7 linked regions of the Macaca fascicularis genome follow. The protein of the gene in region 7 interacts with the protein of the main gene of each other region in a biochemical or structural test. Links are inferred from orthologs where the notes say so. Each region holds a gene or a part of one and is shown on either strand. Other genes may lie near its edges. The genes, in order: CSF3R, FLT4, ERBB3, ERBB4, GAB1, PTPN12 and SHC1.

Region 1 (4,462 bases), about 92 Mb from region 7:
AGGGACAGAGAGAAAGCCAACACAAGGTTACATCATATGTTGGTCACCTCTATGGACAACTGGGGCTCTGTCCTGCTGGAACCTTCCCAAGAGCCATGTAGAACACTTCTCAGAGCTGTCCACCGGAGGGTCAATTTATCCCTTGGATGGGAGGGAAGATGGGAAGATTTACCCACTGACCCCTGCCCCCCATTGGTCAAGGGATGCCTCTTGGGGTGTTCACTCCCTGGCACATCCAGGTTGGGCATGCATGAGTACTAGGCAGGTTCTCCTGGGGAAGCCATGCCAGTGTTGTCAGGCACACTCCCTGGATGAAAGGGAGAGCTCTATGGAGCAGCTGAGGCAAGGGGCTGTCAGGTTACACCTGCAGGAAGCTGGCTGCCTCAGCCATGTGGGCTGAGAGAATATCAAGTGGGGCACCCGAGGGGTCCAGTATGCCCCCACTTCTGGGCACAGACCTCTGGTGGCCTTCTGGGGTCAGGCATCATATGGTCGCGGCCATAGCACCTGGATGGAGGGTGCCTTGGCTCCAGTCTTAGGAAGTATGCAGAGGTTTCTACCACTTGGGTGGGTATCCAGCCTCATGTTCACCCTGCTCCCATTGGGGTCTTGGGGCCAACACCTGATCCTCCAGCACGAGTTGGTGCTCTTGGTGGCAGATCAGTGGGAATTGTTGGTCAGCTTGCATGTACATATCTGGACACATACACGCAGGTGGTGTCCCAGCAGGTCCCTCGTGCTCAGCAGGGAGAAAGGTAGGAGAATCCTTTTCTCTCCCTCCCAGAGAGAGGTGTGGATAAGAACTGCCCAGATAACCAAGGCTGTTCTTGCTCTCAGGGGCCTTACCCAAACCCCCAGTCTATTCGTGTATAGTGCAGTATCAGAATACCCAGTGACTGCTAGCCTGTAAGTCTCCTTTGTGCAAATCAGAAAGAAAACACCCCATCCTTGGGACGGATGCAGCACCACACTAGGACCTGGCAACTAGGGAACAGCCTGGATTTCGGCTCTGGTTACTCCTCAGTTTTGTGCAGTGCGAAACCTGCACAGCTATCCCGAGCATCTGTCTACCCATTGGTGGTTGGTAACCTTCTTACTACAGCATACCAGTTTGATTATCCATCCCCCCCAACACTGGTCGGGGAAGATTTAGCCTCCAAGGCCCAGATTTTGGGACATTGGTTTTCATCTCTATGTGCTTTTGATCATATCCCAGCCCTGTTGCCCTAGCCAGGGTCAGCTTCAGGCCTAGCCTGGGCCCCGTGCAGTACCACCATATCCACCCCCACTGGCTCCTGTCCAGAGTAGACAACCTAACCCAAGAGGCCCCGGCATCCTCCCCCTGCTTGGCCTCAGTCCCTGGTCCTCCACTGCAGCCCTAGACATCCCCCAGCCTGGTTGAGTGGGCCTAGGGCCTGTTCAGTCTCACTCTCTGGGGGGCCGATATACAGAGAGCTTTGGAGCCCAGCTCAGACTCAGGTCACCTGACTTGATCTCCAGCTCTGCCACTTACCAGCTGCTTTGTGACCTTGGACAAGTTACTTCACCTTTCCGAGCCAAGCCTCAGTTTCCCCATCTGTGGAAAAGAAAGAACATTAGCACTCACTCCTCAGGGTTGTTGTGAGGATGAAATGAGATGATTATGGTAAAGGCACTTAGCACTGTGCCTGGCATGGAGTTGGCACTCAGCAACCGTAGGTTCTTTTCACGAGCCGTAAAACGAGTCAGCAGCTCATGGAATCCAGCACAGTTCAGTTCTCGCCTCACCCCTGCCTTCCTCACAGCCTGCGTGGTCACACCTCCCAGGACTGCCACCTTGCTTTTGTCTGTGCCACACTGCACAGTTCCAAAGCCCCATTTCTGGATCCCCTCTTCCTAGCTCCCTGGCCCCCTGGCCCTCCCATCACTGGCCATCTCCTCTGGGCCCTGCAAGTGCTCGCTCCCGTGGCTCAGCACACCTTAATGCCTCCTGGGCTGGCTGCTCTCACATCCCCTCCTTCTGTTTCTCCCTCATCACACTCAACCCTCTCCCCTCACACTCTCTTCCCCAGTTCACACCCCTGGCCCCCTTGCTGTTTCTACTCTCACCGTGGGAAGGGTGGGGAGGGAGGAGGGGGCTGGGAATAAACAGAGGGGAGAGGCCCTTCCAGATGTGCTGCAGATAGAGAAAAAGAGAGAGAGAGATACAAAGAGTGGCAGAGTGAGGAGGTGACTGAAATCCGCACAGACCAAAATGACAGAGACCCACCAAGAGGATGACTGAGGCCAGAGAGGCGTCGAGAGACACAGAAAAAGGGCCCGATGTACACTGACCCAGAGAGTGGGGGGCACTCGGAGGCCCGGAGCCCAGGAGGCGGTCTGTTACCAAGAGTTTAAGATTCAAGAGATAGCAGGAAATATGCGAGACAGAGAAACTCAGAGAAATAACAAGCCAGGGAGAAGCTGAGGAGGAAAGATGGAAACAGAGAGTGAAATAGAGACCCAGACGGGGAGGGGTTGCGCGGCTGGAACTCAGACACACACGTCCTGAGAGGCAGAGGCATGGGGAGGGGAGAATGATTATGTCTGTCCCCAGCCCAGCTCAGTGTCCCCAAGGAGCTACTTGGCTGTGAGTGACTTCCCTGGTGCAATACCCCCCAAAGTAGGGGCATCCTGTGAAAAGAGACTCACTGTCCAGGGCTGGGGTTCCAAAGGACGAATCCTTGGCCCCAGGCCTAGGACCCCGGACATGAACACTTGGCAGAGCTGCGGGGAGTGGCCCCAGGATTCCAGCTCTCCATCAAGCCCAAGGCTCAGCCCCTCTGTAGGGATCCCCTACTCACGTTGGAGCCTCTGGCCCGGACCCTGCTTGATCTCCTTGGTCTCTCTTCTCCTCGTCAAAAGAAGTTCCTGAAACCAGCTGCAGTCCAGCTTCTCTCCCCGAGCTCTGTCGTTAATGGCTCGGCCTCTGACAGGCCCGGGGGCTGGGGATTGCAACACCTTCCGAGCCTCCCTCCTACCCTCCCTTGCGCCTTCGAGGGCACAGGCAGCCCCTTCCTCCCAGGAAGGAGCCTGTGAGGGAAGCTGGTGAGGCCCGGGCAGCCTTCCTGCCTTGGGGGTCTTAAAGGGCTGGGGAATGTGGCAACGATGTCCCCCTCCCCTGCCTCCGGATTTCCTGAGCTCGAAGCTTTGAGGCTGGGCAGGGCCCAGGCTCCCACCTGGCTGGGTTCCATCCCTATGCCCCCCAGCCTGGGGGAGCATCACTTGGAGGCAGACCCTGCCTGGAAGGCTCACCCGGCCCCAAGCCTCTTTTCAGCTCTAGCCTTGGGGCCCACGTCTTCACAGTAGGCAGAAGGGTGTGTTCCAGGTTCCAGGGAATTTTATAACCCAATACTCACTGCTCTCCTCTTCATTACGTATTCTGCACATTGCCCATAGACCAGGCAGATGGAGAAACAGGTATTCTGGGGGCAAGACAGGAGGATGTCTTGGTGAGGCACGGGGTCCTCATATGTTCACTAAAAATTAGTAATGTTTACCCACAATGGTTCTGCAACACTGAATATTTTGTAATTGAGTGAAATAGACTACATTTTATGTCTTTTATTGGTCTGTATTCATGATTCCTCTGCAACTACAAACAATTTTCCTTGTATTTTCTGAGAAAGGTTCAAACTGCTCATAGTTTATTGGATTCATAACCCAAAAAAGATTAGGTACCAACAGACCAGCAGATTGTCCTTAACATATAATCATTTTTAGGCGTCTGGGTCTGGTGTGATGCTGCAGACCAGGGCTGCAGTTCTAGTTCCAGGTCAAATGACCTGACTGCCCACTGTAACCCTCCCAAGATACCCCACAGGCTCTGCTCACTCAGTGAGTCCCGTGGACTGTCTTCTTTCAAAATAGAACCAGAATCCTGGGTATTCACTGTAAAGTTCAAGTTGGCTCTACGTTCAAATATTTTTATGATAATATATTGGAAAATACAAATATAACTGAAGCCAATACTAGCTAGCTCCCAGCTACCCTCATCTCTTGCCTAGATCATCGCAATAGCCCCCTCCCTGCTCTCCTGCTTCCATTTCATCCTCGTTCCCTCACCTGTCTGTAGTTCCTTCAGCAGCCAGTGCGATATCAATCAAACAGAAGTCTGATCAGGCCATCCTCGTCCCAACTTTTCCAATGGCTCCTGTCTCATTCAGAGTCAAAGTCAAAGCCCTTTCAATGGTCTACAAGGCCCTACACAACCTGGTATCCCCATTACCTCCTGGATCCCTCTCCTGTTATTCTCCCCTTTGCTGCCTTGCTCCAGCTACCCTGTGTTCTTTGCTTCTTGAACTTGTTATGCTATCTCTTGCCTCCGGGCCTTTGCCTTTGCTGTTTCATTTGCCTGGACTGTTTCCCCTGCAAATAGCTACATGGGTTGGTCCCTCCCCTTCAGGTCTTTGCTTAAATGTCCCTTTCTCATTGAGGCCTTCTC
Region 2 (4,466 bases), on a different chromosome or scaffold from region 7:
AGCCACCGTGCAGAGGTGCCAATGGCCTCTCTCTAGACGAAGCCCCAAGAGACATCTGCGACCTACCCTCTCCACCAGGGCAAGACTGTGGAACTGAAGCAGGAAACCGAGTCTTGGAGTCCAGCCCAAGCACACACAACCCACACAACCCCGGTGCTTGCCAGCGTATGCCATGGTTATGCTTGGGGAAACTGAGGTGCAAGGAGGGGAAAGGAGGGGGCCCAGGTCACACAGAAATGACTTTACGGGGGAGGCAGGACAAGTCCGGTTCTATGACCAACAGCACATGTTTAAGGGGTCAGCTTCACGGTGCTCAGGCTTCCGGCCTGCTCCCACCCAGCTGCTCTGACACCCGACTGCAGCTGAGGGCTTGTGCTCCCGCCATGGCATCCCCCACCAAGCTGGGGGCTCCCGGGGTCTTCAGCCTAGCAGGGGATAGAGCAAGGTGCAGGGCTTAGGGAGGGATGACCTCAGTCTCTATTGCCATCTCCCCACCAGCCAAACCCAGGTCCAGCCCAGGACACCCCTCTCCATGGGGCCCCCACTTACGCCCTCTCTCCTCTTCATAACTGGGTCGCTAAGTCACTGCACCCACTGCAAAAAATGGTCTCGTCACCCTTCACCCCACATCCCGCCGTGCTCCAGCCGGGAGCACAGCACACTGGCCTCTCCGGGTTCTCCTCAGACCTGCAGAATGTTCCCTGGAAGCCCCCTTGCCTTCTGGGCCCCTCCTCCAGGGTCCCCTCCTGGGTCTCTCTGCTCCCTCTCCAGGTCCTCAGCTCAGCCTCAGACACTGCACTCAGGCGCCCATCCCATGTCTCCTCTGGGTTAAGTGTCTCCCATTCTACAGCCCTGCAGTCCAACCAAGCTCTAACAGCCACTCACAAATACATCCTGAGCACCTGTGAGAGCCTGGTCCTGGGCGGGGTCCAGGAGGGCCAAGGGCAGCACCCTGATCTGACCTGCCCGACTCAGGGGCCCAGACAGATGTTCTCCTCCCTCCTCCCCTGGTTGAGCCAGACCTGTCCCCTCTCCTGGCCTCTGCCCTTCAGCCCGTGGACATACAGGTGGTGGGCAGAAGGCAGGCTTTGTCGGGCTCCTTTGGGCCTCCTGGGGATCTTGGGGAAGTGACACACGTCCTTGCTCTAAGCTTCTCCATGTGTAAAATGAGTCTGACACTCCCTGTGAGAATTACAAGCATGTAAAGCCAGTATTTAATTCCTATGGCGTGCAGAAATGTTGAGGTCCCCATCGCTGGCTTCATAGCTCCCGGCACTCCCCTTTCAGACACTGGAACCCCTGACCCCGCCCTTCCACCCTTTGATTTCCAGAGACACCAGCTCCGTGTGGACTCCCAGCTCATCTTCTCAGCTTCCTCCCTGACATCGCCATCCACTCCCTATCCTGACATCGCCATCCACTCCCTATCCTGACATCGCCATCCACTCCCCTATCCTGACATCGCCATCCACTCCCTATCCTGACATCTCCATCCACTCCCTCTGCCCCTCCCTCATCCCCCCCAATCCCTCTCTCCAACCCCTCCGCCTCCGCCTCAGGTCTGGGTCCCTCCCCGCCAGAGCCATATTCCCAACACAAACCGAACCCCGCCTCTCCTGGGCAGGGGACCCTCCCGCGGGGGCCTCTGCTCCTCAGCCGGCCTTCAAGGCCCCTGTCCCCTCAAATCCGGGGACCCCTGGCCTTCTGCCCCTTCTGCCGCGCTGACAGCCCCCGATTCGCCTCCTCAAGATTCCTCTGAGGTCCCAGCGCGCACCTGCACCTGCACCTGCACCTGCACCTGTCAGCCTCCTGCGCACGGGAGTCCCGGCCCCTGCGCTGCAGCCCCGGCCGCGGGAGGTGGAAGCCCGGCTCGAGCGCCCTCTGGGGGACCGCCCGCGAGCGGAGACGTCGGGCGTCGGGAAGTGCGCACCCGGTCTGGGGCCGGGATGGCCGGGATCTCCGGTGCGCGTGGGTCGGGCCAGCGGCGCGGCGCAGAGACCCCGCGGGGAAGCGAGGAAGGGCACGAAGGATCCAGGCTCAGCGCGCAGCCCGACGGGGCCCGGCTGGAGGACCCGGAGCCACCCACGGAGAAGCCGATTCGGGGCCGGGAGGGCGAACCCTGCGCCGAGGCGCGGCCCGGCCGCCCTGGCCCTGACCCGGCTGCAGTCCCCGCCCGCCCTTTCCTCATCCCGAGGTCCCGGGCCCCGAGCGCCGTGCTCCCTCAGGCGTCCGCGCACCGGGGCCACCGTGTCCCCCGCCCGTCCCCGTCGGAGCGGTCTCAGCGCCCGCCCCAGGTGCGCGGTCCCCCTCCCCGGCCGGCCCCCTCCCCGGCGGCCCCGCGCTCACCGTCTAGGAGCCCCAGGCAGAGCCCCAGTCGCAGGCACAGCGCGGCGCTCCGCTGCATCTCCGGCCGCTGCGCGTGGGTCCGACCTGAGCGGCCGCGGCTCGGGGCTGAAAGTGTCGTCGCGGGCGCAGGCTGGCCCGGGGCGGGGCGGGGCGGGGACCCGGGGAGGCGGGCCAGGGATTCAGGCCGCCCCCGCGCCCCCCCTTCCCCCCGGTCCCTCCCAGCCCGCCGCGGGGCGTCCGGTCCACCCGAGCAGTGCGCGCTCTGCACCGCGGGGTCCGGGCCCCCTCCTGGGCGGCTCCGGGCGCGGGGACGCGGGTAACGCAGACGGCCTCGGTGTGCGCTCCGGAGGGAATGGAGCCTGGTGGGCAAGGGGCACAAAATGCGGTACGCGCCCTTTTCTGTCCTTTCTTTCCATCGATAAAATCCAGAGTAAGCAAAAAAGCAGTACATGTAAAAATAGCAGTATGTTAAATCTTTGAAAATATTGGCGCCAGCCTGGGCAACATAGGGAAACCCAGTCTCAAAAATAAACAAATAAATAAATAAAATAATAAGCCGAGCTTGGTTGTGCGCGCCTGTGATCCCAGCTACTCGGGGGACTGAGGCAGGAGAATCGCTTGAACCCGGGAGAAGGAGGTTGCAGTGAGCCGAGATCGAGCCACTGCACTCCAGTCTGGGAGCCAGAGCAAGACTCCGCCTCAAAAAAACAAACAAAGCAAACAAAACCCGTCCAGCAGTCTTTAACTACCTGCACAGTGGCGATGCACAGTGCCGATGGAAGCTGCACCCTTGAGCGGGACACCCGGGATAACCGACCCCCACCCTGCAGGCCTGGCCTCCAAGCTTTAGAACCCCCCCCAAATGTTTTGTTCTCAGCTCAATCAGGACCCGCCCCCACCTTTTTAATAAAGCGACACTTTGCTTTTGCTTTCTGACTTGGCAACCCTCTCACAGACTTCCGTTCTCTTTTCAGTTTGTCTCTAGATTTTTCCTGTTTAATAATAAAGCCCATGACCATGACTGTCTCATCCTCCCTCCCTGCTTTTCGTTTCATTCACATTTTCCATCCCCCCACCCCGCCCCCCAAAGTCCGTTCATCCTCGCCAAAAAGCAAGAGTAGATTTTCGATAACCACTACTAGCTCTCTCAAACCCAGGTAAGAATTGGCTATATTATTAAGCTAGAATCGCAAATCAGTGAGGATAGTTTAGAAAATTTAATAAATAAGGTTGGGGAAACTAGGTAACCAAATGATACATGAAGTTAGGTATTTATCAATCATATATTGATTTTTTTTAGCTTTGAAAGATTTATTATGAGATGTAACACACTTATGGAAAGTACATAATATATCAGCATATTATAAACCTGAATTTTAAAGCAGCAAACATCTGCGTTTCCATTCCCCAGGCCAAGGGACATAGAATGACATCCCCACATCCCCTCACCACCCATCACAGACCCCTCACTAACCCCCAAACATGGCCACTACCCTGGCATTATCATTTCCCTGCTTTTCTTTATCATTTTATCACCAAAATATATGTTTTGCTTTTTTTTTTCTTTTCAGAATATACTTTTTTTCCCCCTCAGACGAAGTCTCTCTCTTGCTGCCCAGGCTGGAGTGCAGTGGGACGATCTCACCTCATTGCAACCTCTGCCTCCCGGGGTCAAGAGATTCTCCCACCTCAGCCTCCTGAGTAGCTGGGATTACAGGAACCTGCCACCACACCGGCTAATTTTTGTATTTTTAGTAGAGATGGGGGTTTAAACATGTTGACCAGGCTGGTCTCGAACTTGTGACCTCGTGATCCGCCCACCTCAGCCTCCCAAAGTGCTGGGATTATAGACGTGAACCACTGTGTCTGGCCCAGAATATACTTTTTTTTTTTTTTTTTTTTTAAGACAGGGTCTCACTTTGTCACCCAGGCTGGAGTGCAGTGGCGTGATCTCTGCTCACTGCAGCCTTGAACCCTCCACCAGGCTCAAATTATCCTCCCACCTCAGCCTCCCAAGTAGCTGGGACCACAGGTGTGCGCCACCATGCCCTGTGAATTTTTTGCATAGATGGGTTTTCGCCATGTTGCCCAAGCTGGTCTTGAACTCCTGGGCTCAAGTG
Region 3 (3,675 bases), on a different chromosome or scaffold from region 7:
TACTACTTCCCTGTGCAGAAAACTTGGCTCCTCCCTTATCTGGGGAGAAGGATTGGCACTATAACTTGGGAAAGGGGGTGTCCTGCCAGGAAGGGGACTGGGGTGGGGCTGTTCCAGAAATGACTAACCTTCCTAGTCTCTTTCATTTCAACCCAAGGACCCTGGAGTTACCAGCTCCTCTGGAACTAGCTCTCTTTGCTGGGACTAGCCAACCTTCATGGGGAGTGATAAGGAGCCCTCCAAGGTCAAGAATTCAGACTAGGGGTATATAAGAGGGATTGGGGCCTCACCAGTCTCCCTCCCTCCATTCCCACTGTTGCCTCCCACTGACTACCACTGCCTCAGGGAAGGGTGGCTGGAACAGGTGGTATCTACCCCCTATTCCCCACCCCACACGTGGTCTTTCGCTGAACCAGAAGAAAGAGACTGGGGTAGGGCTTCAGAGTCCAGGATTTTCCATAGGCCATTGTCCACCACATTTGCAAAGAGTGAACTCCCAAGGCTGACATGCCATGTGCCTCTAGTCTAGGCTTTCCCCTAGTGCGGGTGAGGATTGCCATGGTGAAAGGCTTTTTCATGAACCTCTTCTAACAATGAAATTGGGTGGAGGCTCAGTGTGGGGCATCTCCTACTATTTCTCTCCAGGTGTCCCTGTATTTGCTAAAAAATACTCTAGGGCTGGAAAGTGATGCTGAGGTTGCTAGAGTGTGTTGGGATAGGGAGAGAGAGTGAGAAGGAAAGCCTGAGTTTAGGAACGTGGGGAGGCAACCAGCTTCTTATCTTCCAGCTTTAAACACAAAGCTCCCATTGACCCCCCCCCCACCCCACCACTGCCAGAGCTCCCTCCTCTACTGAGGTCACTTGTCTGAGCCCAAGGCTTGAGGGTGGAGGGGAGTGCTGCTGAGGATGGGGTGTCTAGGGATAGGGTGGGGCAGCCCCCCTCCTGGATAGAATCGCCTCATTGTGGGCTGGACTGTGGCCCCAGGCACTGCCCCCACCCTCTGCCCCCATCCCACCCTCAGTTGACACAATAGGGGCTGTGTACTAGCCCCAAAGAGATATTTATTCCAGGACCTAGAGAGAGGCAGGATGAGGGTAGAGAAGTGAGTGCCCTGCTTGGAGGGGGAGAGGAGGGTAATCAAAGTTTCGGCCCTTTCCTAACTTCTCTTTTCTAGGGAGGGAAACAAATTCACTGTCATCCTTCTCTATTAACCCCTTAGTACCCAGAGTGGTACCCAAAAGAGGCACAGAGGGGTCTCAGGTAGAAAAAGGAAATCTTCACCTTCCCATTCATAGAATGGTAAAGGGATTCTGAGAAGAGAGAAAGCTCTCAGGCCACTACAGCTTCTGCCTATCGCTTGTGGGAGGGTTGGAGGCAAATGCCCTCTGATCCTGTCTAATGTAACTGGAAGAGGGCAACCAAGGGGGTGATCTTGGGGGATGGCAGATGGGCTGTGAATTTGTGTCCAGCCCTCAGCCACTCTTCCCTCTGCTTTGAACAGTGTGTCCTGGGACTCTGAATGGCCTGAGTGTGACCGGCGATGCTGAGAACCAATACCAGACACTGTACAAGCTCTACGAGAGGTGTGAGGTGGTGATGGGGAACCTCGAGATTGTGCTCACGGGACACAATGCTGACCTCTCCTTCCTGCAGGTTAATGTGCACCCTCCTTCCTCAACCTGCTCCTCTTTATTCTCCCCTAGAACCCTCCTTCCCTCTTCAGGGCTACCTTCTGCTGGAGTTCACCCTTCCTAAGACTCAGGAGTTCCTAAGATCCAAACCCGCGTATTTCTGGGGACAGTGGCTGTAATCTGGGACCTATGGTCTCGCTGTTGTAGCCAGGGATATATAGGGGGCAGGGGCAGAGGCAGGGGCGGGGCAGGTGGTGTTCTGTGGTAGTGCGAGGTCAGCAGGGACTAGCGCAGAGAGACACCTGAGGACCGAGAGGGTACCTGGGGAGATGAAGAAAGGGCCCGCCTGGCATGAGGAGCTTTGAGGAGAAAGCTGCCTGTCTTCACTCCCAGAAGTGACATAGTAGTGTGACACAGTCTACTCCCTACTCCAAAATAGGAATTAGCAAGAGTTAAGGAGAGGTGCAGTGGCTCATGCCTGTAATCCCAGCACTTTGAGAGGCCAAGGAAGGCAGATCACTTGAGGTCAGGAGTTCAAGACCAGCCTGGGCAACATGGGGAAACCCTGTCTCTACAAAAATACAAAAATTAGCTGGGCCTGGTGGCACGCACCTGTAGTCAGCTACTTGAGGGCTGAGGTGGGAGGATCGCTTGAGCCCAGGAGTTTTACACTGCAGTGAGCCGAGATTGTGCCACTGGACTCCAGCCTGGGTGACAGAGCGAGACCGTCTCACCAAAAAAAAAGGTCAAGTGCGGTGGCTCATGCCTGTAATCCCAGGACTTTGGGAGGCCGAGGCAGGCGAATCACCTGAGGTCAGAAGTTCGAGACCAGCCTGACCAACATGGAGAAACCCCATCTCTACCAAAAATACAAAATTAGCCAGATGTGGTGGTGCATGCCTGTAATTCCAGCTACTTGGGAGGCTGCGGCAGGATAATTGCTTGAAGCCGGGTGGCGGAGGTTGTGGTGAGCCAGGATCGCGCCATTGCACTCCAGCCTGGGCAACAAGAGCTAAACTCTGTCTCGAATTTTAAAAAAAAGAAAGAAAGAAAGAAGGAAGAATTAAGAGTTAAGAGTCTTTAATGCCTGAAGGAGGAGAGGGGATTGAGATTTTTTTGCCCTGTTGTCTCTCTCATTGACATAATCTGCTCTGTCACAGTGGATTCGAGAAGTGACAGGCTATGTCCTCGTGGCCATGAATGAGTTCTCTACTCTACCATTGCCCAACCTCCGAGTGGTGCGAGGGACCCAGGTCTACGATGGGAAGTTTGCCATCTTCGTCATGTTGAACTATAACACCAACTCCAGCCACGCTCTGCGCCAGCTCCGCTTGACTCAGCTCACCGGTCAGTTCCCGATGGTTCCTTCCGGCCTCACCCCTCAGCCCTCAGACTGGTACCTGCTTGATGATGACCCAAGGCTGTCCACTCTAAGTGCCTTTTCCAAGGTGCCTGTCACCTTGGTAACTGTCTAATGGTCCATTGCTCCCTAAGCAATAGAGGGCCCCCAGTAGGGGGAGCTAGGGGCATCTACTCCAGGGAAAGGAACCATGTGTCCTGGTGGGGCTGGAGTCAGAGCCGGATCTGTTACCATTTCTCTAACTTCAAAGTACAGTGTACTGGAGGCCAGGCGTGATGGCTCACACCTGTAATCCCAGCATTTTGGGAGGCCAAGGAGGGCAGATCACTTGAGATCAGGAGTTTGAGACCAGCCTGGCCAACATGGCGAAACCCTGTCTCTACTAAAAATACAAACAAAACAAAACAAAACAAAATTAGCTGGGGATAGTGGTGTGCACCTGTAATTTCAGCTGCTCAGGAGGCTGAGGCAGGAGACTCGCTTGAACCTGGGAGGCGGAGGTTGCAGTGAGCCGAGATCGCACCACTGCACTCCAGCATAAGTGACAGTGAGACTGCGTCTCAAAAAAAAAAAAAAAAGCCAAAGCACAGTATACCTGGATGTCCCTCCTTCCCTAGGAATTCTACCTTTGCTCTCCTAAACCAAACCCCTATGAGCTGAGGAATATAGGAGTTAAAAACCAC
Region 4 (3,675 bases), on a different chromosome or scaffold from region 7:
ATTTTCTTGTCCATTTATTAACCAGCAGAACATGTAGAATGGCGGACCTGTTCCTAAAACATCAGCCCTGTGATGTGTAGTTCAAATTATAGCACCAGAGACAAGAACAGAATCTCCTGGCACAACAGCATGTGTATCCTATACACCCGAGCCATTACCAAGTCACACAACTCTTATCTTTTAGTTATGATAACATCTGATAAAAAAGAAAGTTTCATTAATTGTTCATATCTTGCACCCCATACTTGCAAAATACTAATATTATTTTGAGTGACAGACAATTGAAAAAATCAAACTATGTATTCTGTAATACTTCATACCATCATTGGAGGTATTTTCAATGAGCTTATCTTTGGAAATAAGGATGGAAGCATGATTTCCCCAGAATCAGTAAATCAATAAGAGTGATGGTTTTGACTTAATGCCCAGACGATGCTCCTCTTGAAATCTGTGAGACCTGCAACTTTAAACATATCCACTTACCTATAGAGTACTCTTCCACCAATGGTCACTAGGTTAGAAAAAACACTGAAATCAGTCATGTTTGGCGGCCATGACTGTATGTTCAGGAAACCTACAAGTGAAGAGTAGTAAAAATAAATCAGAATATCATTGTCTTAGTATTAGTGCTGATTTTTCTTGAAATATGGTGAAAACATGTTGAAAGGTGGGAAGTGAGAAAGGAGTAGTGAACATTTCTATTTTTGAAGCACTCTATTACGTATGTATTCTTCCAAGATTGAGTCTCTTACCCGGTAAAACTTTATATGTTGAAAGGTTTCAATGACTCAATTTGATTTATTCTTATAAATGCAAGAATGTAGTCTAACTAGATGAAGAGAAAAATATAGTTTCAATTTCTCCGAAATCTTTTACCTCTTCATCTGTATACTTACGATATCAGTGTCACCCTTATATTCTAAGACATTTATATACGTATCTAACCTTTCTCATTAGATTTTGCATTATTTTACGGTAAGTCCATGTCTGATTCATATCTATGGGCCCCATATTACCCACTAAGACAATGTTGAACACATTACAGGCTTAATATATATGTGCTAAATAAATGCTACATGTTATCCATGTTCAAGAGTACTTCTTTTGAAGAAGTAAACAGAAAAACATGGGTTCAAAGATCAGTTGACACTTGCAAGAGTTGTAATGTCAGACTTTCAAAGACACTCATTTTGTAATTCCATGGGCTTTCAAAATATGCATAAAAGCTAATACCATCTTTAAAAATAATACGAGTTTTTACAAACTAAAATCTGCTTTGAAAATTAGTTGCTGATTCCAATCTTATGTAACTTTTTCTGTTTTGTTTTCTTTTTTGTTGTTATTTTGTGATGGAGTCTCACTCTATTGCCAGGGTGGAGTGCAGCGGCGTGATCTTGGCTCACTGCAATCTCCACCTCCTGGGTTCAAGCAATTTTCCTGCCTCAGCCTCCTGAGTGGCTGGGATTACAGGCACGCACCACCACACCCAGCTAATTTTTGTATTTTTAGTAGAGACAGGGTTTCACCATGTTGGCCAGGATGGTCTCAATCTCCTGATCTCGTGATCCACCCGCCTTGACTTCTCAAAGTGCTGGGATTACAGGAGTGAGCCACTGTGCCCAGCCAATCTTATGCAATTTTTTTTTAAAATTACGTTGTTCATAGCACAACAGTTGCAGTTTAAAAAATTACCTGTTATCTCTCTGACTGTCCGAAAGACATTCAGTTTCTCTGGGTCTATGGCTTCAATTGCATTGTAAGGGTCCCTAGAAAATCAAGAAGAAACATAGCCAAATTTAAATTTTAATAAAGGAGTGAAAATATGAGAAATGTGACAGTAGTTATTTTATTCTAATTTAATTTTAATTAGCAATAGGGGCGTTATCAATGCATGTCTAAATTAATCTGTGCTAGATGTGGAGGAGGAATAGTAGGTGTTTTGTGGACATTTTTGATGTCACAAAATATGAGATTTTCATCAAAGCCTATTCTAGATCTATAAGATTATTCAGATTGAACTATTCTGATGAAATTCTCAAAGATAGCAAGTTCATGTATGAACCACTTGACATTGCTTTGTTTTAAAAGTTTATTATTGATTTGGAAGAATATATATAGTCTAGAAATAAATTATATTATAGTGAGAACAACTGGTATTTCTGCTCCTCAAAGAAGTATACATTGCTAATAGTACCTGGAATTCATAAGAAGGATAGAAACAAGCACAGATAAAATTGACATTTTTTTCTTCTGTAGCTCTACATTTATCTACTCATGAATTTTCATAATATTTATGACATTGTCCAAAAGTATCTCTTCATACAGATTACTTAGAACCATCTTGTTCCTATCTAGCTTATTCATATTCACGTTTATAACACAGGAACTATTCGCTTCCATGTATATGAATTCAAGTAAGACTTCCAGTTTTGTTTTTTATTTTTAAGAAATCCACAGTAAGTTTTAAAATTTTATTACATTAAAAGACATTTCGTGCTATCCTAGGTAGACACCTCATATTAACATATATCATTTACAGAGAGATTAAATTTTATCCATTGGCTGCTTCTTCAAGATAGGTCAAAACTTCTAAGAACAGTGATCTTAGGCTTTTTTAGAAGTATGTATCTACCTGTAGCAGTCAAACAAATTTTATTCTTACTGTAGATATCTCTTCTTTTACCGGTCTCTGAGAACATTCCTTTTCGGTAGGGTGAATAACCACTAGTGATCCACTCTAAGTAGCCTTAATAGGGCTATCAATCAACATGCTCCATAATCGCCTGACAAACAGATAGGCATATGGCCTATGTCCTGAGGATTTGTGTCTGAATCCATTGGCATTTATTCATGCCAGCATTCAAGTCTTGAAAAGAGTATCAGTTCCAGCAACTTGATCTCTGGAACCACCTTATACTGCCTTTCTGAACTTGGTTCATCAGCATATTCTTCTCTACTGCAAACCATTCCACATCTTTAAAAAAATTTGCTTGATTAAATTACTGTTTCAAACCAAGAAGTGCAATCAATACAATGTACTGCTAGTTTAACATGGAGTACTTTATACTAGGCTCAAATACTGGATATTGCTGAGGTTGGAGAAACACTAAAAATGTGTTTCCCTATAATTCACACATAAACTATTGATTAAAATTTTCTCAATGTCATATTAATATCTCACAAAAGCTTAAAGTCTCAATTAAACGTTCTAGCAAACTTTCTCTATTTACAAGCAAAGATATATGGAACAAATAACTATGCTTTCGATGAATATGAAGCCAAAAATGAAGTGTATCATGTAGGAAAACTGTTGCCTTCACTTTTTAATGTGCAAAGAATTTTGTATACAGAGGAAATATCAGCTCTGCAGTACAAGAATGAGCTTTCAACATTTGTTCTTTGATGAAAAGCAGTGTATAGAACAGCTCAGGTCATATAATCAAATATTCTGCCTTTATTGAGAAAGACTCAAAATTCAGGGCAAGCACACAATAACGGGGTCAGTCCAAACCTTTACTGAGAACACTTCTATGTTACCGGGAATGAAATGAATTCCGGAATGTTAACATGAAGCCCAACAGACCACAGATATTTTATACAGTTAATTTTAGAGATTCAGGACTCTTGTAAAATAAGTTGACAGAATTCCACTCACTGACTTCAAAGTATGTCTTG
Region 5 (3,675 bases), on a different chromosome or scaffold from region 7:
ATTAAATTAGTTGACAGAACTTTAAAAATCGAGAGATAATACATATAAAATCTGAAATCTCTGGCTTCTCCTGAAATACCAGAAGATTTGCCTGAATGGGTGCATCACTTCACAAGTCAACAAAGGATTGTAGCCGAGTAGATTAGTTACTCCCATTAGATGGGGCTAGGGCAGTCCAGTTTCTTCTAATTCTCCCCAGTTGTCCGCTCACCCTATGAGTATTTTAGCTTGTAACCTCTGCTCTAGAGATAGGAGACTTATAAATATCACCTCACATCAACATGTGATATAGAAACTGTTAATTTATAAATGGCAGTACTGCTTTGCTTAAATAAGTTGATGGCTATGGAACTATGAAATATTTCAGAATTTCTAGTCCAAATTCTGTTTTGGATTTAATGGCAGTTAAAAACAGATCTAACTTGGCACTCCCCAAGCCTTTTACTTTGCCATGCTCTCCTTACCTTTTCTGTCTGGCTTGAGGTTCCTATCCACGGGGGGTGGTTCACAGTCTGCAACAGGAACTGGCCTTCTGGGAGGGGTTTTTGGGCTGGACCTGAAGCCCATATGAGCAGGAGGAGGAACTTGCATTCCAAATGAGGAAAAATCAAATGTTCCTGGAGTCATTGGCACATAATTGGCTTCCTGAATTGGTTCTGTAAAACTGCTGGAATGTTGTCGTGGTGGTGAATTGGGATTCATTGGGACGTAATTTTCATCCAGTTCTTCACTTGAAACACTTCCCACTGTCAACACATTTTTGACTTTCTAAAACACATATATATTTATTTTAATAAACAAAAACTCTTCTCACACATGAAAACACAATTGTAAGTCAAATCCATTCATATGGATCTCAGCGTACTTTTATTTCATGATATCACTTAGTCCCATGGCACTAATTATGAAGATTTAGACAATGAAATACACTTGATAATGCCAAGGTCAATTATACTTACAAAATGGTTATGGAAGCCTTCAAGTGAACTAGATCTATCACTTGGAAATGTCCGTGGAATATCATAGCAGTCTTGAGAACTAGTATCTAAAATAAAGAACAAACTATCAACATTTCTTCCCATCTTTGCCAGCTCTCAGGGTCATTGGGATGACCTATTCTCTTTCTCTCATTATACATATGCAGACACATATGCACACACATAGATTTTAAAAAGGATGCTCACAGACTTGTATCTTGAATCGGCATATTAAACCACTAGAAAATGCAGACACTCACTCATATGCTAACCAACACCAATATCTAATTTTGAGTGTGAGTGAATGTCTAAGTCTGGGATAAGATAGGTTATCTAAAGATGAAGAGTAACACCTCTATTTTCTCATTGTTTGCACCACCTTGGACCTAACTTACATTTCACTAACTTATAACCAGGTTATACAGTCACTTCAAGAAAGGAGTTAGAAATTGTTATTGAATGCTGAAATAAGTAATGATTTAAGTAGTAATCATAGATACATTAAATGTTTATCTTGGAGATAGCTGGGGAAAAGTCTACCACAAAATACAGAAATTTTAGCACATAGTATTTAGAATATGTGCATTAAAAACTTTAGCTTTCTATTTTTAGGACTTTGAGAATCTCAGAGAATCACCCAGACTCATTTTCTCTTCTCCTCTCAAGGTCTGTAACTTTTGGTTCAGACTCTAGGAGACAGTATAGGAAAGTATACTCACTAACAATTAGTGAAGTGAGTAGTGATAAGGGGAAAGAAGATTCAGCTCTTTAAACACAAGTAAAAATCAAAGAGAAAGCAGAATGGCTTGACCAGAACAGAATATCACCTGTTAGACACAACACAAAAACTGCTTACATAGGAAGGAAGGAAATAGGGCTCAACAGATGTGACTTAGAAGCGGCCATAATGGCACACAAATACAGGAAAGGGTATGACTCGGAGAGGCTTTGTGGCTGGTCCATTTCCTGCGCTTCTGTCCCAACAGAGGGCCTATCCACCCAGGATTATAGAAAGTGGGAGAGAGAAGGGCACACTTCCTGAGGCAGGAAGGCATTACTAAGGCCATACTTCTTCAGGGATGAGAAACTCCAACTCTCTTTTCCTTCCAGCAGAGCATGAATGCACATATACCCTTCCAGGTAACTGTAGAGCTGAAAAAAAATGGACTGTATTTTGTAGCATAGTATATTTAACTACACTTAAAAGAATAAATATTCAGAAAAATCGATTTTCTATCATTAACCTCTAATAGAGAAGAAGTCAACTAGAGCTGACCTTTTCGCAATTTGTTTAAATCCACAGTGGAAATGGTATTACTACGTGATGGCGGCATCCCTGCTGTAGGGATACAGTAACTATTGTCAGTGTCTGAGGCGGTGCGTGGGATACTACACGTTTCCACAGGAGATCGGTCATGAGCTGGATGTGGTTTCGGTGGCCGAGGTGGAGGAATATCTGGAATAGTGTCTAGCTTTGATGTCTGTCCCAAGGTTCCTTCTGGAAATGTTCGTGGAATCTGATAAGTATTACCAGGTGTTGGAGGAATGTCATAACTAATAGATACATGCCTCATTTGAGTCTCTACACTCGATGTCCCAGATGGGGTATTAAAAACATAGAGTTCTCCATCTGCTTCAGTACTTGACGGAGACACCTTTGGTAAAACATCATGGGAATAACTTCTGGGCAGGTTATAAAGGCTGGAGTCAACTGAAGCAGATGTGGCACGTGAAGGTGGAGAGTCGTATATCATTTGCTGCTGAAAAAAGCCATTCATTCCATGTTTGCTCTGGGAGGAAGCAGGATTTTTATGAGAAGGGACGTTATCATTGCAGTCTGTTTCAGAAGAGGTGGATTTTGCAGAATCAGCGTGTGTTCTAAATAAAAATTGTTAATGACAGAATAAACAAGGTGAAGACTAAGAATACACTTTTTATAAACATATTTATAGCTTAGCAATCAAAAGATAGGGCTTTTCTCATTAGATTTTTCGTGTGATCCATAGGATTTAAAGCACAAATGTTCTTTAGCTTTTATGATTATACACCAGACAACAAAACCGCCACCACAAAACCAACAGAAGCATTCTCTCTAATTCTGTCCTATATCTGCCCACACCCCCAACTCCACCTATTAAATTTGCACATAAAAACACAATCCCTGAAGCACTGGAATTAAACATTACAAAACTCTGGGAAAGGTAAATGATTAATGCATAGACACAAGGAAAAGCATTTCCTCTGAAGAGCATGCAAAAACCTAGTGCTAGTACAATTTATATAGTTGATCCATTGGTCTTAAACCTCCCCGTGGCAAATTTGTTGTTCTGTAAAATTAAAAGTCTAATGATTACTTGGTATTGAATAAGGTCAATGTGACTTACAAGAAGGTGACATCTAATTGTTTTTCACATATCTTCCTTTCCACTACTTTTCTTTAACAAACATTTAGCCAACATTAAAGAGGATCGAAATACACGATACAGAGTTAACCAACTCCAAACAATAACACACTTTGAGAAATCTCATTAAAGTATATTTATGTACATTTTCAGTCTCTGCATTTTGAGGTATCACAAAATTTGGGTATATGACAAGATGAAGCTAACAACACAAGCACACTCTCACTTCCTTAATGCTAAACAAGATACCTGAACTACTTCTGCATGTTATCCAAAGTCCTATAGGAATTTAAACA
Region 6 (3,675 bases), on a different chromosome or scaffold from region 7:
GTCTGAATTCTGGGATTCTTCTGGTGGAGTAACTGAAACTTTGTTTGATTGTGTTACACTGCAGTCCACACAAGAATTCTGAGAAGTATCACTGACATTTAGATCTGAACTTAATTCCTGTGGCTTAGAGATTTTATCAGTTGTACAAGGTGAAGCAGATTTAATTTTAATTGCATGTCCCCTATTTAAAAGTGTGTTCCCATCAAAACTTTTTGGTCCCTCTTGGAGAGGGACCTTCTTAATTTCGAAACTTAAATTTCGTTCCAATTTTTTATCTATCTGTTCAATTGTTGATTCATTTTTCCCTGGAAGTTCTGTTGGTTTACTATAGTTTCTGTTGAGGTCTGCTGAATGTTGTTCTGATGAAACCATATGTAACACTGGCTTTGGGTGGTATCTATCATTGTCCTGCCACACAGTAGTGACTGTTGGAAAAGCTGAAGGGGGCGAAGGTGTCAAGATGGGTGGCACTGGATGAGGTTCCGGTGGCTGCAGTATTTCTTCTTTAGCATCCCCTTCAACAAGGCAACTGAAAAACAAATATTTAAAAAGGGCATTTTAAGACTGTTAAACAAGTTGATACAGGAGAATTATGTAGCTAAGACTAGTATATTAAGAGCCATTAGAATCTGGTTGTGAAAACTGTAATTTTTCAGACTAAGAAAATTTAATGTTCATCAAGGTAATACATATACTGCTTAAAAAGACTTTTAATGAAAAACATAGTCTCTGCCCTGTAGCCCTCCTGTTAGCCAGAGGCATCCACTTTCAACCTTTTTTTTTTTTACAGCTGCTTCTAAAATTTACCTCTGTATTTCAGACTATTTCAAAAGTTATTTCTTGATCTCTATTTCACATATTTTCTACTGACTTCCTACTGTGGAAGTGTCCTTCTCTATCTTTCCAATACTGTTATATTGTAATTTTTCGTTACCTCAGTCATATGACTGCAGATATTATTCACATCTATGACACCATGATTTCATATCTTTTCTTCTACAATGTCTTGTTTTCCCCTAACCACTGCCTTGGGTTTCTGATTGCTTAGCTCTCTATGCACCATCAGTTACTCAGCTTTTCTTCTAACTTTCTTGCAGATTGGTATACCTCCTCTCAATAATGACAAACACACACAGTAACTATCAATACCACAGACATCCTTCTTAGTAACTTTTGGCCTTCTGCTCCAGTGTGGACTACTGGTTCCCTAAGCCACCACAGAGCTAATGTTCTCTCTGGTTTCAGATTCTCCTGTTTCCCAGGTCCCATCTTCCTCTTTCTGGGTATACTCCTTTGTTTGGGTGGGTTACACCCTCTAGTTGCTTTTATTTTTTTCCTTAAAGAAATGGGGGCCAGGCACCGTGGCTCACGCCTGTAATCCCAGCACTTTGGGAGGCCAAGGTGAGTGGATCACTTGAGCTCAGGAGTTTGAGACCAGCCTCAGCAATGTGGTAAAACCCCATCTCTACTAATAATACAAAAATTCACCAGGTGTGGTGGCACACACCTGTAGTCCCAGCTACTTGGGAGGCTGAGGCAGGAGAATTGCTTGAGCCCGGGACGTGGAGATGGCAGTGAATTGAGATCGTGTCACTGCACTCCAGTCTGGGTGACGCAGCAAGACTGTCTCAAAAAAAAAAAAAAAAAAAAAAAAAAAGAGAGAGAGAGAAAGGCTGCGCACCGTGACTTACTTGGAGTTCACAATCAGCCTGGGCAATATGGCAAAACCCTGTGTCTTCAAGAAATACAAAAAATTAACTGGGTGTGGCAGTGTGTGCTTACAGTCCCAGTTACTAGGAAGGCTGAGGTAGGAGGATCACCTGAGCTTAGGGAGGTCAAGGCTGCAGTGAGCTGTGATGATGCCACTGCACTCTAGCCTGGGTGAAAGAATGAGATCCTGTCTCAAAAAAAAAAAAAAGATAGGGTTTACTATGTTGCCCAGGCTTTGTTGCTTTTTAAGAACTTTATATGATGCAAATTTCTTGAGGGCTTGTATATTCAAGTTTTTGTTTTTCTTTTGAGATAGAGTCTCGTTCTGTTACCCAGGCTGGAGTGCAGTGGCACCATCTTGGCTCATTGGAACCTCTACCTCCTGGGTTCAAGCAATTCTTGTGCTTCAATCTCTTGAGCAGCTGTGACTACAAGCACATGCCACCATACCTGGCTAATTTGTGTATTTTTAGTAGAGACGGGGTTTTGCCATGTTGGCCAGGCTGGTCTCGAACTCCTGGCCTCAAGTGATTTGCCTGCCTTGGCCCCCGCAAAGTGCTGGGATTACAGGGGTGAGCCACGGGATCCCACCTCAGAGTTTTTGCTTTTTTTTTTTTCCCCGCAGGTGATCAACCTTTTAATTATCCAACCAGATAATTGGCAGTAATCACATGGTACACCAGGTTTCCCCTTAAAAGAGACTCTGTGGGCTGGACATGGTGGCTCATGCCTGTAATCCCAACACTTTGGGAGGCCAAGGCCTCCCAAGGTCAGGAGTTCGAGACCAGCCTAACCAACATGGTGAAACCCCGTCTCTACTAAAAATACAAAAATTAGCCAGGCATGGTAGCGTGCGCCTGTAATCCCAGCTACTCAGGAAGCTGAGTCAGGAGAATCACTTGAATCCGGGAGGTGGAGGTTGCAGTGAGCTGAGATCATGTCACTGCATTCCAGCCTGGGTGACAGAGCGAGAGTCTGTCTCAAAATAAATAAATAAATTAAATAAATAATTTTATCTGTGAAGTTCAGATTCTCTAGACACATTCCAACATTCCTAGAATAGGACATGACAAGATAAATGAATATCTCCAGAATATTGATCATATTACAACGACAGCAATACTCTCATAAGATATTCCTATATCTGTTGAAGTTTTACAAGTAGATTCTTCTTCTTTATTTTGTTTTGAGACAGAGTCCCACTCTGCCACCTGGGCTGGAGTACAGTTGCACAATCTTGGCTCATTACAAGCCCTGCCTCCAGGGCTCAAGCCATCCTCCCAGTTTAGCCTCCCAAGTAGCAGCGACTACAGGTGTGCACTATCACCCTGGCTAAGTTTTGTATGTTTTGTAGAGATGTGATTTTGCCATGTTCTTGTTGCCCAGACTGATCTCAAACTCCTAAACTCAAGCAATTCACCTGCCATGTCCTCCCAAAGAGCTGGGATTACAGGTGTGAGGCACTGCACCTGGCCTGCAAGTAGGTTCTTAATCTGAAAGAGTAGCTATCAAATTTTTGCAATCTAAAATAAAAAATAATTGTAGGCACCTCCTACAATTTATAAAGCATATACAAAGACCAATAGGTTATCCTAAGAACGTATCATAATACAAATAGAAAATACGAGTTTTAAAAGGATGAAATAAAATTTTGATATAAATTGAGGTGTATTATTTTCCCGACATGTACATCAGACCACTTTTCCATAATCAGTATTTTATTTACTTACTTTTTATTGAGACAGAGTCTCATTCTGTCTCCCAGGCTGAAGTGCAGTGGTGCGATCTCGGCTTACTGCAACCTCCGCCTCCCAGGTTCAAGCGAATCTCCTGCCTCAGCCTCAGGCATGCACCATGATGCCCAGCTAATTTTTGTATTTTTGGCAGAGACAGGGTTTCGCCACATTGGCCAGGCTGATCTTCTAACCTCAAGTGATCCGCCCTCCTCGGGCTCCCAAAATGCTG
Region 7 (4,296 bases):
CGAGCTGGGATTACAGGTGCTCACCACCACGCCCAGCTAATTTTTGTAGTTTTAGTAGAGACGGGGTTTCACCATGTTGACCAGGCTGGTCTCAATCTTCTGACTTCAGGTGATCCACCCGCCTCGGCCTCCCAAAGTGCTGGGATTACAGGTGTGAGCCACCTTACCCAGCGGGAATATGTATCTTTAACTTGTTTTTTGTTTTTTGGTCGCTTTCCAGCTTTGCCTATGGCATTCTCCAGAAGAGCAGTGGCAGGAAGCCGTGGGTGGCAGGAATGAGTTTGGGACTGTTCCCTGTGTCCAGCTTCAACCCATCTTCTCCTGACACCCCTTTCTCCTGTGCTTACTTGTTTTTTCTCCTGTTCTTATTGACACAGATGTGTCTTCTGATCTCTCTGTCCCTTCCTGGCCTGTCGTTTCTGCTTCTCTTGGAGAACTGTTTCTTCCACCTCCTCCAGCCAGGCTCCTCCCCTGGTGTGAGGGACACTGTGCTGTTTGGTGGGGCTTTGGGTCCTGTAAGAGGAGGGATATGAATTGGGGTGGTTTGGAGTGGGAGTGGGGACCTGATTGCCTCATTCTCACCCTTGACAGTGTGCTGTGTTAACAAGGCCTGTGGAAAGGGGAGAGGACAGTGCTTGGCTATGAGCCATGGGTCTTGGTGTGGTAGATGGCATACATAGAGAACAAGCCGTGACCAGCATGTCCTCTTGTTCCCCTCTTGCCTGGTAGCTTCCTGATGTACCATCCAGGTTGGACTTTATTCCCCTTTTTTCACCAACTTTGCTTCTCCTCTTGACCCTGCTCTGCATCCATTGGGACCACTTCCTTCCCATCCCCACTTCGCTAGCTCCAGTCCACAGCTGTCGTAGCAGAGGATGCTAATGGCCCAGGCTTACTGTATGGGGTAGTGGTTGGGGGTGGCCTGGGCTGGAGGGTGGGGAATTCGAGTGTCCAACCAGAACAGGAAGGGAAATGCTGAGCTCTGAGATCTCCTCCCTTTTCCACCCGCAGCTGCCTCTGTTTCCTCCCTCATTCCCCTCTACTCTAGCCTGGCTTCCTGCCCCCTTTGGCCTGCCTGTGTCCGGTTTCGAGTGACCCAGACCTCCTATCTCCTTTCTTTCCATCCAACTCCTCCATGCTTCCCTCCCACCCCCACTTTCCTTCTCCCCAGATTACTAGTTGTTTGTGTAGGGCAGGGGAGAGGAGCTTGGATAGCCCTACCCTCTGCTCCAGTCCGAGGTTGGGGCGGGGTGGGGGCTCAGCCCCTCTGAGCCTGTGAGTCAGCACTGTCCTCGTGATTGGTCTCTCCCTTTAGCTCTCCGCCCCTGGGGAGGAGCCAGGCAGCTCTGGGTCCAGCCTGTTCTCTTCTCAGCCAGAGAAGAGGCTCCACGTTGGGCGGGGATGGGGCCCGAAACTGTCTGGGTCTGAGCTGGGGAGCGGAAGCCACTTGTCCCTCTCCCTCCCCAGGACTTCTGTGACTCCTGGGCCACAGAGGTCCGACCAGGCTAAGGGCCTGGGAATACCCCCTGCCTGGCCCCCTTGCCCAAACTGGCAGGGGGGCCAGGCCGGGCAGCAGCCCCTCTCTCACCTCAGCTATGGATCTCCTGCCCCCCAAGCCCAAGTACAATCCACTCCGGAATGAGTCTCTGTCATCGCTGGAGGAGGGGGCTTCAGGGTCCACCCCCCCGGAGGAGCTGCCTTCCCCATCAGCTTCATCCCTGGGGCCCATCCTGCCTCCTCTGCCTGGGGACGATAGTCCCACTACTCTGTGCTCCTTCTTCCCCCGGATGAGCAACCTGAGGCTGGCCAACCCGGCTGGGGGGCGCCCAGGGTCTAAGGGGGAGCCAGGAAGGGCAGCCGATGATGGGGAGGGGATCGTAGGGGCAGCCATGCCAGACTCAGGCCCCCTACCCCTCCTCCAGGACATGAACAAGCTGAGTGGAGGCGGCGGGCGCAGGACTCGGGTGGAAGGGGGCCAGCTGGGGGGCGAGGAGTGGACCCGCCACGGGAGCTTTGTCAATAAGCCCACGCGGGGCTGGCTGCATCCCAACGACAAAGTCATGGGACCCGGGGTTTCCTACTTGGTTCGGGTGAGTGAACATCCTCCTTTCCATTGCCTCCCAGACCCCTCCAGTTCTTCTGCTCACTCCAGCTTGGCTGGAATTCTTTTTTCCTGCTGTTCCCCAACAACCCTGTTTCAGTGTTCTATTTCCTAAACCTTTCCCATCCCTTCCCCAATTCTGTAGCCCTTTCCCTTCCAGCTCTGCCTGGGCCCCCTTCCTTCTTTTGACTCCCCTACCCCCACCCTGCCATGCTTAGCACAATGCCCAGCATGGCAGAAGCTCTTAATAAGTGCTGGAAGGAGTGACTTCTTGATCCTTTCCTCCATTCTCCTCTCGCTTTCTGGAGTTGTTGCTCCATCCCAGTCAGTGCCTGTCAGTCCCCTCCAAACTCTCTCCCCAGTGCGTGAGGTCCTTCTAGCCTGCCTTTTCTTTCTCTGCTCGTTCCCTGTTGTCTTTCACCTTGGTTGTGGGATGTAGACACGGAAGAGGGCAGAACTTCTTCCTCTTTACTTCTCTTAGGGACCATATGGGCAAAGTCCTAGGGCCCTTTGTGAAGGGACTGGGGTCAGGGAGCGGCTGACCTGCTGTCCTCTCCTCCCTCCCCTTAGTACATGGGCTGTGTGGAGGTCCTTCAGTCAATGCGTGCCCTGGACTTCAACACCCGGACTCAGGTTACCAGGTTAGTGGGGAGGGAGTGGACTGTGGGAGTCCTGGGATTAGTGAGGCCATGGGAAAGGGCGGAGGGGAGTGGGTCACTTGGGTGCTGCTGGTTGGGGCTGATCTTTGGGTAGTAAAGGGGATTGAGAGAAAGCTGGGATAGTGATTCTGCCTCTTACTGAAAGGAGGCCCCTCTGGCCCGGATCCTCCTTACCTGTCCAGCCTTGGGAGTTGTGGGGAAGGTAGCAGAAGCAGCTGGCAGGTGGAGCTGGAGTAGCAAATGGGGGTAGATGGAAGGTTGCTGCTGCCTTTGGGAAGGGAATGGGACATTTGGTAGCTGGAAGGGGGTGGGGCTATACCCATTGAGGCCCTAACCCAATCAGCCAGGAAGCGGCCTCTCAGTGTCATCAAATATTAAAGGCCCTTAATTCAATCCACCACGACAAAGAGCCTGGAGTGCCCTGGGAGTCTGGCCTGGCTTTCCCCTCCCCCAGCTCTGTGGCAGCCCCAGTTGAGTGGGAGGCAGGCAGGCAGGCGCTGGGTCTGAGTACCCCTCTTTCCCCAGGGAGGCCATCAGTCTGGTGTGTGAGGCTGTGCCGGGTGCTAAGGGGGCGACAAGGAGGAGAAAGGTACTTGGGGTCCTTGGGGATAGGGATGCTGCTGGGAAATGTGGAGGGACAGTGAGGAGGCAAGTGTGGGGCATGTGGGGAGAGGGCCAGGAGACAAGAGTATGGTTTGTCTGTGCTGGGAACCCTCACCTTCTAAGACCCTGGGCCCTACCTTAGCCCTGTAGCCGCCCGCTCAGCTCTATCCTGGGGAGGAGTAATCTGAAATTTGCTGGAATGCCAATCACTCTCACCGTCTCCACCAGCAGCCTCAACCTCATGGCCGCAGACTGCAAACAGGTTGGTGGAGGTGGGCAGGTGGACCAGAAACACCGATGGGGGTGCTAAGGGGAGATCTAGTTAGGAGGCCAAAAACTAGGAAGAGGGCTTGAGAGCAGAAGACCAGTAGGGAAGGAGGAAATGAGGATATGGGATAAGGAACCCAGAGAATGAGACTGGGGCACCAGGGTTCTGGGCCCTGAGGCTGCCTGACACATGGCATTCCCTTCCTTCTCCATCCCCTCCCCTAATTCTCAGATCATCGCCAACCACCACATGCAATCTATCTCATTTGCATCCGGCGGGGATCCGGTGAGTTGGGGAACAGAGCAAAGGTGGTGGGAGAAGAGCAAGGGGCTAGTGATTGGGAAGACATTGATTAGAGAAGTGGGGGTGCTAGGACTGTGGGGATATCTGAAAAGGACTGGGTTTTAGGGGTCAGGAGTAAAGTGGAACTGTAAAATTTTCTGACCTTCCTCCCCAGGACACAGCCGAGTATGTCGCCTACGTTGCCAAAGACCCTGTGAATCAGAGAGGTGAGGCATGGTGGGGAGCACTGGGTGGGTCTGGCTGTTTGAGGTGAGTAGGACCTGGGGTCATTTGTACCCACTCTAAGTAGATCTAAGTGGGGGTTCCTGCCGAGGAAGATGAGGGCCCCTGTCTGTGCCTCCTCCCAGTGGGCTCAACTCACT

The links.
Region 1: the proteins of SHC1 (region 7) and CSF3R form a complex in vitro, tested with the Homo sapiens proteins (2 studies listed by BioGRID, with this or other methods). The link is inferred for Macaca fascicularis from reciprocal best matches to the Homo sapiens genes SHC1 and CSF3R.
Region 2: the proteins of SHC1 (region 7) and FLT4 form a complex in vitro, tested with the Homo sapiens proteins (2 studies listed by BioGRID). The link is inferred for Macaca fascicularis from reciprocal best matches to the Homo sapiens genes SHC1 and FLT4.
Region 3: the proteins of SHC1 (region 7) and ERBB3 form a complex in vitro, tested with the Homo sapiens proteins (2 studies listed by BioGRID and IntAct, with this or other methods). The link is inferred for Macaca fascicularis from reciprocal best matches to the Homo sapiens genes SHC1 and ERBB3.
Region 4: the proteins of SHC1 (region 7) and ERBB4 form a complex in vitro, tested with the Homo sapiens proteins (2 studies listed by BioGRID and IntAct, with this or other methods). The link is inferred for Macaca fascicularis from reciprocal best matches to the Homo sapiens genes SHC1 and ERBB4.
Region 5: the proteins of SHC1 (region 7) and GAB1 form a complex in vitro, tested with the Homo sapiens proteins (2 studies listed by BioGRID and IntAct, with this or other methods). The link is inferred for Macaca fascicularis from reciprocal best matches to the Homo sapiens genes SHC1 and GAB1.
Region 6: the proteins of SHC1 (region 7) and PTPN12 form a complex in vitro, tested with the Homo sapiens proteins (2 studies listed by BioGRID). The link is inferred for Macaca fascicularis from reciprocal best matches to the Homo sapiens genes SHC1 and PTPN12.

Annotation. Positions count from the first base shown.
Region 1 is NC_088375.1:198,438,328-198,442,789, reverse strand, and holds the start of CSF3R (granulocyte colony-stimulating factor receptor), read right to left. Parts: upstream 2,929-4,462; 5' UTR 2,823-2,928; intron 1,577-2,822; 5' UTR 1,514-1,576; intron 142-1,513; exon of another isoform or gene 48-141; intron 1-47. UniProt on the Homo sapiens protein: Receptor for granulocyte colony-stimulating factor (CSF3), essential for granulocytic maturation. Plays a crucial role in the proliferation, differentiation and survival of cells along the neutrophilic lineage.
Region 2 is NC_088380.1:187,556,022-187,560,487, forward strand, and holds the start of FLT4 (vascular endothelial growth factor receptor 3), read right to left. Parts: upstream 2,813-4,466; 5' UTR 2,798-2,812; coding exon 2,347-2,797; intron 1-2,346. UniProt on the Homo sapiens protein: Tyrosine-protein kinase that acts as a cell-surface receptor for VEGFC and VEGFD, and plays an essential role in adult lymphangiogenesis and in the development of the vascular network and the cardiovascular system during embryonic development.
Region 3 is NC_088385.1:62,869,409-62,873,083, forward strand, and holds part of ERBB3 (receptor tyrosine-protein kinase erbB-3), read left to right. Parts: intron 1-1,502; coding exon 1,503-1,654; intron 1,655-2,792; coding exon 2,793-2,979; intron 2,980-3,675. UniProt on the Homo sapiens protein: Tyrosine-protein kinase that plays an essential role as cell surface receptor for neuregulins.
Region 4 is NC_088386.1:107,522,327-107,526,001, forward strand, and holds part of ERBB4 (receptor tyrosine-protein kinase erbB-4), read right to left. Parts: intron 1,767-3,675; coding exon 1,693-1,766; intron 575-1,692; coding exon 484-574; intron 1-483. UniProt on the Homo sapiens protein: Tyrosine-protein kinase that plays an essential role as cell surface receptor for neuregulins and EGF family members and regulates development of the heart, the central nervous system and the mammary gland, gene transcription, cell proliferation, differentiation, migration and apoptosis.
Region 5 is NC_088379.1:148,551,591-148,555,265, reverse strand, and holds part of GAB1 (GRB2-associated-binding protein 1), read right to left. Parts: intron 2,856-3,675; coding exon 2,254-2,855; intron 1,046-2,253; coding exon 960-1,045; intron 769-959; coding exon 465-768; intron 1-464. UniProt on the Homo sapiens protein: Adapter protein that plays a role in intracellular signaling cascades triggered by activated receptor-type kinases. Plays a role in FGFR1 signaling. Probably involved in signaling by the epidermal growth factor receptor (EGFR) and the insulin receptor (INSR).
Region 6 is NC_088377.1:143,849,628-143,853,302, forward strand, and holds part of PTPN12 (tyrosine-protein phosphatase non-receptor type 12), read right to left. Parts: intron 530-3,675; coding exon 1-529. UniProt on the Homo sapiens protein: Dephosphorylates a range of proteins, and thereby regulates cellular signaling cascades. Dephosphorylates cellular tyrosine kinases, such as ERBB2 and PTK2B/PYK2, and thereby regulates signaling via ERBB2 and PTK2B/PYK2.
Region 7 is NC_088375.1:106,174,744-106,179,039, forward strand, and holds the start of SHC1 (SHC-transforming protein 1), read left to right. Parts: upstream 1-1,374; 5' UTR 1,375-1,595; coding exon 1,596-2,090; intron 2,091-2,671; coding exon 2,672-2,742; intron 2,743-3,285; coding exon 3,286-3,349; intron 3,350-3,505; coding exon 3,506-3,625; intron 3,626-3,862; coding exon 3,863-3,916; intron 3,917-4,088; coding exon 4,089-4,140; intron 4,141-4,296. UniProt on the Homo sapiens protein: Signaling adapter that couples activated growth factor receptors to signaling pathways. Participates in a signaling cascade initiated by activated KIT and KITLG/SCF.